Linked DNA regions of Arabidopsis thaliana. The protein of the gene in region 2 interacts with the protein of the main gene of each other region in a pairwise test. Each region holds a gene or a part of one and is shown on either strand. Other genes may lie near its edges. The genes, in order: AT5G20810 and ADK2.

Region 1 (4,675 bases), 6.2 Mb from region 2:
ATGTAAGAAACTGATTTTATTTGGTAAAATGCAGAATGAAAAAAAAAACGATTAAACATATTTAGGCTTTATGTGAAAAATTAGAAACGAAATTTTTTTCTGACTGGATCGCTAACAGACGAATGCAAGACTTGGAATGGGGTACACCGCTTTTTGGAGATTGGAAACACATGGAAAACCAAATAAGTAGTGCTTGGTGACTTTGGTCCCATAGCAAAGGGTGAAGTTGTGTCTTTCCTGAATTCGAGTGCATGCTGTTTGGGAGAATTCTTTAACTGTTAGCTCCGGCCCAAACAATCGTAAGTAGTGTATACGAATTATATACCAAATCCGACCAGTTCTTGACAATTCGACCACAATCCATCTTCCCCACATTGTTGCATATTATTCATTAGTCTACTTGATTGTCACACATAACAATTTTCGATAACAACATCGAAGAAGAAGACAAGAAATGTGAACATGTTTTCGTACAAGAAGTTATATTTTTGTTTCGTATCACACTTTGACCACCAAATTTTTTCACATCTAACATACATGTCCTAAAACTTAAATCCCCCTTGAAAAAAGAATGGAGAATCAATAAAGAAACCAGGAAAACACAAAGATAATCTGATTTTACAATTACACCCCAAAGTAATCATCCCTAATTAACAATTTCCATCAGTATATGATTAAAGGATAACAAGAGAATCAAAACAAAATAAATGTTTTAAGATTTTTTATCACTTGACTTGTATTTACTCTTCCTTTGCTGCTACTGCCTCCCCATCTGCAAAAGACAAGACAAAGCCATTAGTGTTTCTCAAGAATCAGCATAACAGTGTCTAATAACTAATCGTCTTGCTTGTTCTCTCATCAAACAAACTTGTGAATGTTAACGGGCTTGGCCCGGCCCATTTTAAACGCAGCATGTTTTTAGACCTGATTCTTCAGGGTTTAGACTTTAACCCAGTCCCTGGATTAAGCCTTGGCTGGCCACCAGGATTTGAGTTCATGGTATGATCTCTAGGTAAGAGTTGGTCTTTGGGGGGCTTACCAGAGTTGTCATCAGGATGAAGATCTTTAAGATTGTTCTCCATGCACTTAAGCAAGTACTTGAAAGTCTCGACCTCGCAAGGGATGGTGAGCGCACCGCTCTGATCAAACCCAAACTCTTCCTCTGCTTTCTCGAGCAAAACCTTGAACAGAGAGTGGCTAAGATAGCTTGTCGGTATGATAAACCTCCTTAGCTCCGGTCCAACATAAACAGCAAGATTCCCTTTAGGAACATCATGAGGCGGCTCAGGACTTTGACAGGTTTCCTCATCCGAGTCACCGTTCTTGACATCTAATAGCCTCTTGTTGATGGCGGGCGAAATCATCGCCACTGCTTGCTTTCCAGCTGCCAATGGAGGAACTTCTGACTTGGGGCCTATGGTGACGGTTTGCCATTTCTGCAAAATCTCCTTAAGCCTGACAATCTGCCTGATACCGGTTAACTTGGCCGCGTTGTTTTCATCCATCTGGCTAGTATAACGAAAGATCAAATGTCACATATGATCTTCTTCTTCCCTTTGTAGCTGCATTTACAATGTCACAAAACTGTTTGATTAGTTTCTTTCTGACTCAGTTGCATCAAAATAAATGAAAATACACATTACTATAAATCTGTGTAACGAGAAAGAATTAAAAATCAATTAACCAAGTTTATTGACCTCTAAATCAATTTGAAGCATTACTATATAAATAGGTTAGGTCCCAAATAAAGAAAAGAATATCATCAAAAAAAACAGAGGACCCACCCAAATACACAGAGAAGCAGATCCCAAAGACGTCTTTATCAAGGGAATGTTTTCTCAGATTCCTAAATATTATTAGGGTCCAATTCTTATCTATGGTAAACCAAATCAATCTAAAGAACATCAAACCCTAAGTTTTTTTTAAAATATAATTTCGCTAACTTTATTTAGCAAAATCAGCGAAAATGAATCCAGATTTGATCCCAATCCGCTAAATCAAAGTTCTTCTCAAAAACTGTAAATAGTTCAGATGAAACCAAAACACGTAGCTGAAACAGACTAATACGCAATCGTGTAAATTACATTATCAAAGAGTATAAATTACCTGAAGAGGAAAACGAATTGAAGCTTGCTTTAGCTATGGACACGATGAATAACACCATGCAAAAAAAAATAGCCCCCGAAAATTTGTTTGTTATGATTCGCTTCGATCTTTTTTTTAAGGATAATTCTGTTCTCGGAGACTGGCAGAGCTCAACGATGATGATGATATGAGAGGAAGAAGCAATTTCTAAGTACTGAAACTACAAAAAAAAAATTAAGAAAAAAAAATCGATAGAATCTAAATATTTGGTGGGGGTGAAAAAAAAACGAATAGAGAAGCGAATTTTGGGAGATGAGAGAAATTAGGGATTAGGCTTTATTTGGATTTTATAGTTTTTGAGTTTTCTTCGTTTTTGATTCTCTCTCGCACAGATTTGTTTTGATGGCTTTCCCGTCACTTTCGCCTTTTCAGGTTCTTCCGTTTTATTTTCTCACGTTCTTCTCGATACCGATGGTTACTTTATTTTCAATTTGACCCCTTTACTCCGATATTTACTTTATTTTACAATTTTACCCCTTTACTACTTTATTATTCATTTAACACCTCATCCGTGCCTTCCTTGTTAAAGTTTTTAATTATGTGATCTATAATGTATTATGTACTTTAACTTATTATTATTATTTTATAATAATTTACTTAACTTAGTTGATCCTGTTAATTTATGATATATCAATTTAGTAATAAGATAATTTATGTCAGAAGCTTATTATAAGATGTGGGCTTATTCTAAAGAAAAGATTATATAATTGTGGATAGTGTTCTTTTTGCTGAGGATCATGGATGGATTTTACAAAATCTTCTCTCATGTGCATTGTTTTTGATAAAGTTTCTTCTCATAATTAAATTCTTGAATTAGACAGTTCTATCTGTCTAAATGGGCCGTAGTATAACCTTTTCTATAAGGAGTAGTCTGATGGGCTTAAATGGTTGGTCTATAAGTTATTTATGATTTTTTTGTTTTTCTAAGAGTCTTATATATATTTTTTAATAAAAATATGACTCTTTTAATTTAGTAATAAAACATATCTTTCTTCTTTTTATTTCTATTTATAGGAGTTTTTATTTATTAAAACTTTTTATTTCTATTTTAGAAGTTTTTATTTATTAAAAAAAACAAGACAAGGAAATACGGAATGGTTCTTCGTAAATGTGTTAACTATTTAAGTGAAGAGAGTGTAATTTGGTCATTGTATACTAACTTAAATACAAAACAAAAAAAAAACGACGTTTACACTTTTTTTTTTTGTCATCTGCTTTTAATTATAACTCAAAAGAGTCATTCCTGTGGAATGTTGTTTACATAAGTGATGTGATGCGATTCAGAACGGACATTCCGTGCCAAATTATCCGCTTTTACATTTGCGCGTCGTGAGATTAAAGATAAAGAGAAGTTTGAAAACTCATCCTTGTCGCTCTGAAATTCCTAGAAATATCCTGAAAATGCTGGCCATTCGGTTGGGGAAGACACCATCTTCCCAGGTCTGAACAGTCTGTAAAGAACGCTACATCTTAGTTATCTGCACCGATCATACACTTCATCCCCCAAAGAAGAGCTTCAACTTCTGTATGTAATGGGGAGAGACTTCTACGGAGATTAGTAGTGCCCATGCTTGAGGTTTCTTCATTTGATGATGTACAAAACCATCCTAATCCTGAAAACTGATCACTCTCTTTCCAAGATCCGTCTACAAAACAACGAAGTCCTGCATAAACATTATCCTCTGAGATATTTCTCACACGAGTTCGTGATTCCAAAAAAGAAACCGGATTTTCAGAATGTAGCTCAACTTGAGCTGATTTCCACGATTGTGCTTCTTTTTCCGCTAAACTTAAAATATCAAGTGGATCTTTATCCACATTATCAAAAAGCTTTGCATTCCGTGCTTTCCAAATATACCAGATAATCCATGGATATGAAAATGAATCAACTGCTGATTGTACTCTCCAAAATAAGTGATCTAAATTCTCATAAATAGAATCCGAGGGAAAAATTCCTATAACCGTGGGAATCTGTGAAAGCGCCCAAATCTGTCGAGCTGGATGACATTGAAAAAGTGTATGATTAATTGTTTTCTCCGTGGCACCGCATCTTGCGCAACCTATATCACAATTTATGCCTCTTTTCCGTAAATTTTCTCTGACCGGCACGCAACTCGCTAAAATTTGCCACAAAAAGTGGCGTAGCTTTGGCGGACATTGCACTTTCCAAGAATATGCTTTAAGCAATGTGATCTCCGGACCAATAAAAGACAAATTTGTATCTATATATTCTATCCGAGAAGTATGATATCCAGATTTGAAAGTATATTTTCCGGATTTTGTAAAATGCCAACCTAGAGTATCCTCTTTGTTGGGCGCACCCACATGCAGGGCACTTATCAACGGGATATCATTTGGATCAAAAATCTCATGTAAAATATCCATTTTCCAAAAGTTTGACCTTCTGTCAATAAGGTTACTTACTTTTAAAGATGGATCAATAACAGACCCATTACTTTTTGCTGGTCTCGGGAATTGAGCTGAAATCCAAGGATCCTCCCAAACGGAGATGGATGCCCCAGATCCGACT
Region 2 (5,941 bases):
TGTGTAATATGTGAGTTACATATCCCGATGTATGGTACGTAAGTGGAATTGCACTTTGTCCAAGAATCTTATCCCTTTTCTTATATCTTTTAAATCTTATCTTTCTCCAGCATTTGATCGAACCCTGGGACCCACAATTTCACAACTTGAATAAAATGCGTCTCCTTTTTATAAGAAAAACAAATCTTTCAAATTTTAGCTCTTCTCTAAAGAATTTCTGCTTTCGTTAAATAACATCGTTAAAGTGATTCTACTAATTGTTAAAGTTATGCAAATCACTTTAAGTGATTCTACTACTGTGACGACACTCATACATTATCTCTATGCCAAATAGTTGAGTGCCAATGTGCATGCCATGCCGATAAAGATTTGTTTTGTATTCATGAAAATTTAAAGAAACCAAATAATCAAAACGAAGCAATGATTAAAGCGAAAGCCCATTGGCCATTGTTTGAGGGAAGATGCATGTTCGTACGATTTCGTATGTCGTAAGTACAGCTTGGCCGTAGTTGACCCCAAAAAACAAATAAAATAAGATGATGAACAAAGACATCTTATTTTCAAAACTAAATTGATAATGACGTTCCAAATATTTATACATATTTCTTGGTAATATATATGTATTGAATGGAATGTATTGTTTTTCATGATAACTAATGTAGATCATGTATTATTTGTAAAGACGACATGGTCCAAAAATAATCATTACCCATACCTATTCATCCATATAATACATACATTGAATATATATATAGTAGACCTATGTTAGTGACTTTGTGTATAAATACCCATGTACGGCACTAGTACTAAACCCCAAAAACGTCTCTCTCTTTCTCTTTCTCATCTCTCTCATAAACATGATGAAGAAGAGCAAGCTGATCGCAAAGGCATGGAAGCAAATGTCAAGCAGAGTTGCCAAACACCGCGTCGCCACCGGAAATCCTAAGGATCAATATCATATACCACATGACGTACCAAAGGGACACCTTGTGGTGTACGTTGGTAAAGATGAGGAAACTTATAAGAGGTTCGTTATAAAGATCACGTTGCTTCACGATCCCATCTTCAGAGCTTTGCTTGATCAATCAAAAGATGAAGCTTACGACGATTTCACTTCCGGAGATTCCAAGCTTTGTATTGCTTGTGACGAAACTCTCTTTCTCGAGGTCCTCCGTTGCGCTTCTCCTCGTTATTCGTTATGAGTCTTTGATTCAAGAAGATGGTTCTACTACTAACGTTTAGGTTTTTTTAATAATGTTAGAGGATCCATTTAAGGAGTTTGTGAAATGAGCCATTTTTAGGTATTAGCTGATGGTAGATATCATATAATCTTCTCATCGAAGCCTTCATTGATTAAACATGACTTGTCTTGTCTAAACCTATGGTGGTAATATTAATTAGGGAATAATAATGAGAATAAAAGTGGTAAAAAGTACACTCAAGCAATAATAATTCAAAGGTTGTTTTATTTGGAAGATATCACAAAACTGAGGGTAACCCAATTGTTTAGTTAAAGTCGGGCTTCTCAGGGTAAGTGCAGCCAGATCTTTGGATCACCACGTTCGACGCATAGCATCCAGCCTTCACGCATTCCTCAATCGATTTCTCTTTCACCAACTGTGACATAAATCCTCCCACAAATGCATCACCTGTAAGAGAGATCAACAAAAATAGTCGGTATTGGTTCTGTCTATGACACAGAGAAGAACATGTTTTGTATCAGTTTCAAGGAGAAAGTTCGTTTGAATTTTGAAATGCTAAAGGATCAGCTTATTCTATGATCATGTCAGTTTCTATCTAGTATAATAATAATAAGCATAAAGTTGAATGTAGGTTTGGTTACAACTCGGTCTTTCGATTATCAAAATTAGTACCTGCACCGTTGGTGTCAACCAGCTTCTCCTTTGGGAGAGGGATGACTGGATATTTCTTCACCTTTCCATCTTCAGCAACAACCACTGGATCAGCGCCCTGTGTAATCACAGTGGTCCTCTTGTATGTTCCTGTGGCCTTGGGAAGCTGTGAAATCTTGATGGCTATTTGTTCGACATCTTCAGTCTATACATATATAAACATATAAATGGTTAATTCTTATCTCAGCTATACAAAACAGAACAGCCTGCTGAAATTTAGTCGTGCTAGAGAAACTTCTTACCTCCCAGCCATGAACCCTAGAGAAGGTTCTTGCCTCTGTCTCATTGCCGAAAACGAAGTCCATGTATCTGTAAGATCAATGTAGAGTGTTATTCAGTACATTTACGCAATCAGAACATCTGTAATGGATAAAATAAAATTAGGGAGAGCTTACGGCAAGAACTTCTCCTGCACATCTTTGAAGAATTCACAGATGAATGGAGCAGAAAGGTTCATTGTGAACACCTGAAGGATAGGTGAATATGTAGAGGATGTCAATAAAAGAAGCAGTTGTAAACAAATAAAAGATTCTGCTGAAACAGAGTCTCATGAAATGGAGGACCATGTCTTAATTACCTTGTTGTTTGCAGCAGCGTGCTCAGATACCAACTGAATGGATTCAGGCGATACTGTGAGGAAGAATCCAGCAATGTAGTAGAACTTGGCCTTCTCAACTACCCAATACACATTTGATCAGTCAGATCACGAAGAGATAATACAGAAGTGTTAAAAGGATGCAACGATGGGAAAAGAATTTTACCCAATGCCCAGTTTTCAGGCTTCTTAAGGTGATCAACCTTGTAGCAGTTTGCAGCTGAAAGATTCGCAATAAGAGACCTTTCTCCACCAACAACACAGACACCACAAGTTCCAGTAGGTGCCGACTCATCTTCATAATAGTGAACCTGATACAAAAGCATAGTGTCATTTTAATGCACTTTGATTACAAAATCCGAATTCAGTTTCAACAATAACTTCATACTATCCTCAAAAGACAAACGGAACAGCAGCTGCGCATTGACTCAAACAGAAAACAAGAAAACCAAAGAAGAACCAGGAAACACAGCTTACATTAACACCAGCTGCTGTAGCATCCTTCTTCATGGCCTCTCCATATTTGTCCTTTCCAATGGATCCCATGTAACTGGTTGCCCCAGGAATTTGAAGCATCCACTGCAGCCACCAGAAAGTAAAAAAAAAAAACCTTGATTTTTAGCAGTGGTTACTTATAACCCATAAAAAGTGCAAGAAAAATGCAAAAGAATCTACCTGAGCCACTTTGATTGAGTTCTGAGTAGCACCTGAGAAAGAATAGAATAACCAATATATCATAATCTTGTCAACGTATAAACGATAAAAGAGTTACAGGATCGTCAAACAGGACAAAAGATTAATTACCTCCGGCAATGTATTCAACATTGAACTTGCTACTCATCTCATCATACCTTTTAAAAAAAGAAACAAAAAAAGTTTCAAAGTGAATTTCTGTTTCTCAAACCATCAACTATATAGTCTATATTATAAAGAGAGGATGAGATATTTAGCTGAAACAATCCAGACTTCTGAAGCATTGAATCAATCTCTACTTGAAAGTTTAAATAACATGATCAACACTCTTGATTACCACACCTAATTTTAACCCATCAAATACCAAAAGCAGAGCATAAATCAATACTTACATGGGCAAATGTTTGTCTTCCGCGAGAATCGCATTGTTCAACTTGATGTCGTATCTGTCAACACGATTAGAGAACAACATAAACAAAAAAAACGCACACAAATCACAGAGTTTATGCCACTGAAGAAGAATCAAACTATCAAATCTAGATTCAAACCAAAATCCCAGAGAGAGATAGCGACAATGGATACAGCAAAAGGAATTGGAAACAAATAGAAAAAGAGGGATCTGAGAGTTTATTTACTTGGTGAGAAATTCGTCGTCGACGACGGCAGAGATATCGAGGAGTGGGTTACCCATACCGAGAAGGATTCCATCGTAGTTAGAAGAAGAAGCCATGATGATGAATCTGAGGTTTAGGTTGAGATTCAGATCTGGGATTGGTTTTTGGAGGCAAGTTTAGTTACTGCTGCTGAGTGAAGCGTCTTGCCTTTATAATCTTAGCTCGAGGGGAAGTTGGTGCACCAACGACACATTATTATTCTCTTTTTAGATTTTTTTTAAGTATAATTTTTAAACTAAATTAGTACTCTTTTCTTTGTGGACCGACTAATTTGTATTGAAATGGTTTACAAATGTATGAGTTTTCTTCATTTGATGATTTTGTCATTTCATTCATAATCATAGTAATTTACTCATTTTATTCTACGAGTGAAAAGAAAAAAAAAGGTTTGGATGTATGTATGAAATTGATAAACTGATTGAAGTTATAAGAGTATGTAAACAATTCAAGCAACAAAACAAAATTCTTCTGATCGATTCAGAAAGAACATCACTTTTTCCAGTGTTATGAATCTTCTTGCCTTACGGCAGAGAAATTTTAAGGCAGAAACAATAACTTCAAAACTCATGAAGAGCCGTTTTTTTGCTTTTTCTTTTATTCTAATCGTAAAACAAGAAAACAAGAAGAATTCGAGGCTATAAAAAAGGCTCCCAAAAGAAGATTCGATAAAGAATTGGATTTTACGATGTTCAGAGATGATCACAGATTGCCTTTGTGAATTCCGTGGTGGTCGAACTACCTCCAAGATCCGCGGTTCTGTATTTGCCCTCTGCTATGGTGTTGATGATTGCACTGTGGATTTGTTCTGCTTGTTCGTTGAACTTCAGGTGACGCAACATCATCACTCCACTCAGAAGCAACGCGGTTGGGTTCGCCAAGTTCTACATCACCCAAAACAGAAAGACAACAACAAATTTAAAAATCACACATATTAATCTTTCAACATTGGATGCATAAATGATACTCTTTAGCCCGTAAATGATGAAATTGGAATGATATATTGTTTGAAGGACCAACCTTTCCAGCGATATCAGGTGCAGAACCGTGAACTGCTTCAGCAAGGGCTACACCATCTTCTCCAATATTACAACTGCGTCAAAGATAATAAGGCCTTAAGATGATGTAGCTCATAATCATACTAAAGATCACTATTACACAAGATGAAGGAACAAGTGTTTTTACCTTGGAGTCAATCCTAGTCCTCCAACCAATCCGGCACACAGATCGCTAATAATGTCACCGTACAGGTTTGGCATCACCAAGACATCAAAAAGTGCTGGGTTTTTCACAAGCTGCAGGTATCTCAAGATTATCAGTCGCATATTCCACATGTAAAAACAGTGGAAAAGCAGAACTCAAATACAAGTTGCTAAGAAACCAAACTTCTAAATCTACAAGGTGATCCCGAGTCCCGACCACTAACTTAATTAACGAAAAAATAGTAGATTCGGTGTCATAGCTTACCATCATACAGCAGTTGTCAATAACGACCTCCTCGTAAGTGATCTCAGGATACTTCTCAGCAACCTCACGACAACACTGAAAAACGGAAGCAAAATAAAAATGGTCTCAGAACAAAATGTAAAAAAAAAAAAACTAGCAGAAATAACAATCATTGCTTTGATCCCTCCGTATAAGAAATGCTTGGAGTTATAAAACGGGCAGACCTTGAGAAAGAGACCGTCAGTTTTCTGCATAATGTTGGCTTTGTGGATAGCAGAAACTCTCTCTCTTCCATGAGTCTTGGCATAGAGAAAAGCATACTCTGCAACTCTCAAACTCGCCTGACGGGTAATGATTTTAAGACTTTCCACCACACCTCTAACAACCTATTATATGCGTCAGGAGAAAACAAAACCATCATTAGAATCATTTATTAGAAGAACTAACCTGAAATATTCGATCAATAGACTTAAAACAAACTAAACCTGATGTTCAAGGCCACTGTATTCTCCTTCCGTGTTTTCTCTGATGGTAATGAGATCAACATCATCGTAACGAGTTTTGTAACCAGGAAGACTGTAACAAGGTCTAACATTGGCATATAGATTAAGCTCTTTCCTAAG

Evidence for each region.
Region 1: the proteins of ADK2 (region 2) and AT5G20810 interact in a two-hybrid assay, tested with the Arabidopsis thaliana proteins (one large-scale study listed by BioGRID).

The regions. Positions count from the first base shown.
Region 1 is NC_003076.8:7,041,621-7,046,295, reverse strand, and holds AT5G20810 (SAUR-like auxin-responsive protein family), read right to left. Parts: upstream 2,496-4,675; 5' UTR 2,107-2,495; intron 1,563-2,106; 5' UTR 1,506-1,562; coding exon 933-1,505; 3' UTR 773-932; coding exon of another isoform or gene 741-772; 3' UTR 584-740; downstream 1-583.
Region 2 is NC_003076.8:794,563-800,503, reverse strand, and holds ADK2 (adenosine kinase 2), read right to left. Parts: upstream 4,063-5,941; 5' UTR 3,932-4,062; coding exon 3,837-3,931; exon of another isoform or gene 3,648-3,836; coding exon 3,594-3,647; intron 3,497-3,593; exon of another isoform or gene 3,360-3,496; coding exon 3,313-3,359; intron 3,216-3,312; coding exon 3,184-3,215; intron 3,088-3,183; coding exon 2,986-3,087; intron 2,820-2,985; coding exon 2,675-2,819; intron 2,589-2,674; coding exon 2,491-2,588; intron 2,380-2,490; coding exon 2,309-2,379; intron 2,223-2,308; coding exon 2,156-2,222; intron 2,059-2,155; coding exon 1,875-2,058; intron 1,650-1,874; coding exon 1,507-1,649; 3' UTR 1,203-1,506; coding exon of another isoform or gene 858-1,202; 3' UTR 694-857; downstream 1-693. Other genes in the region: AT5G03310 (SAUR-like auxin-responsive protein family), read left to right, coding at 858-1,202; IDH-V (isocitrate dehydrogenase V), read right to left, coding at 4,565-4,756, 4,893-4,965, 5,058-5,167, 5,340-5,414, 5,543-5,704, 5,804-5,941. UniProt on the Arabidopsis thaliana protein: ATP dependent phosphorylation of adenosine and other related nucleoside analogs to monophosphate derivatives. Essential to sustain methyl recycling.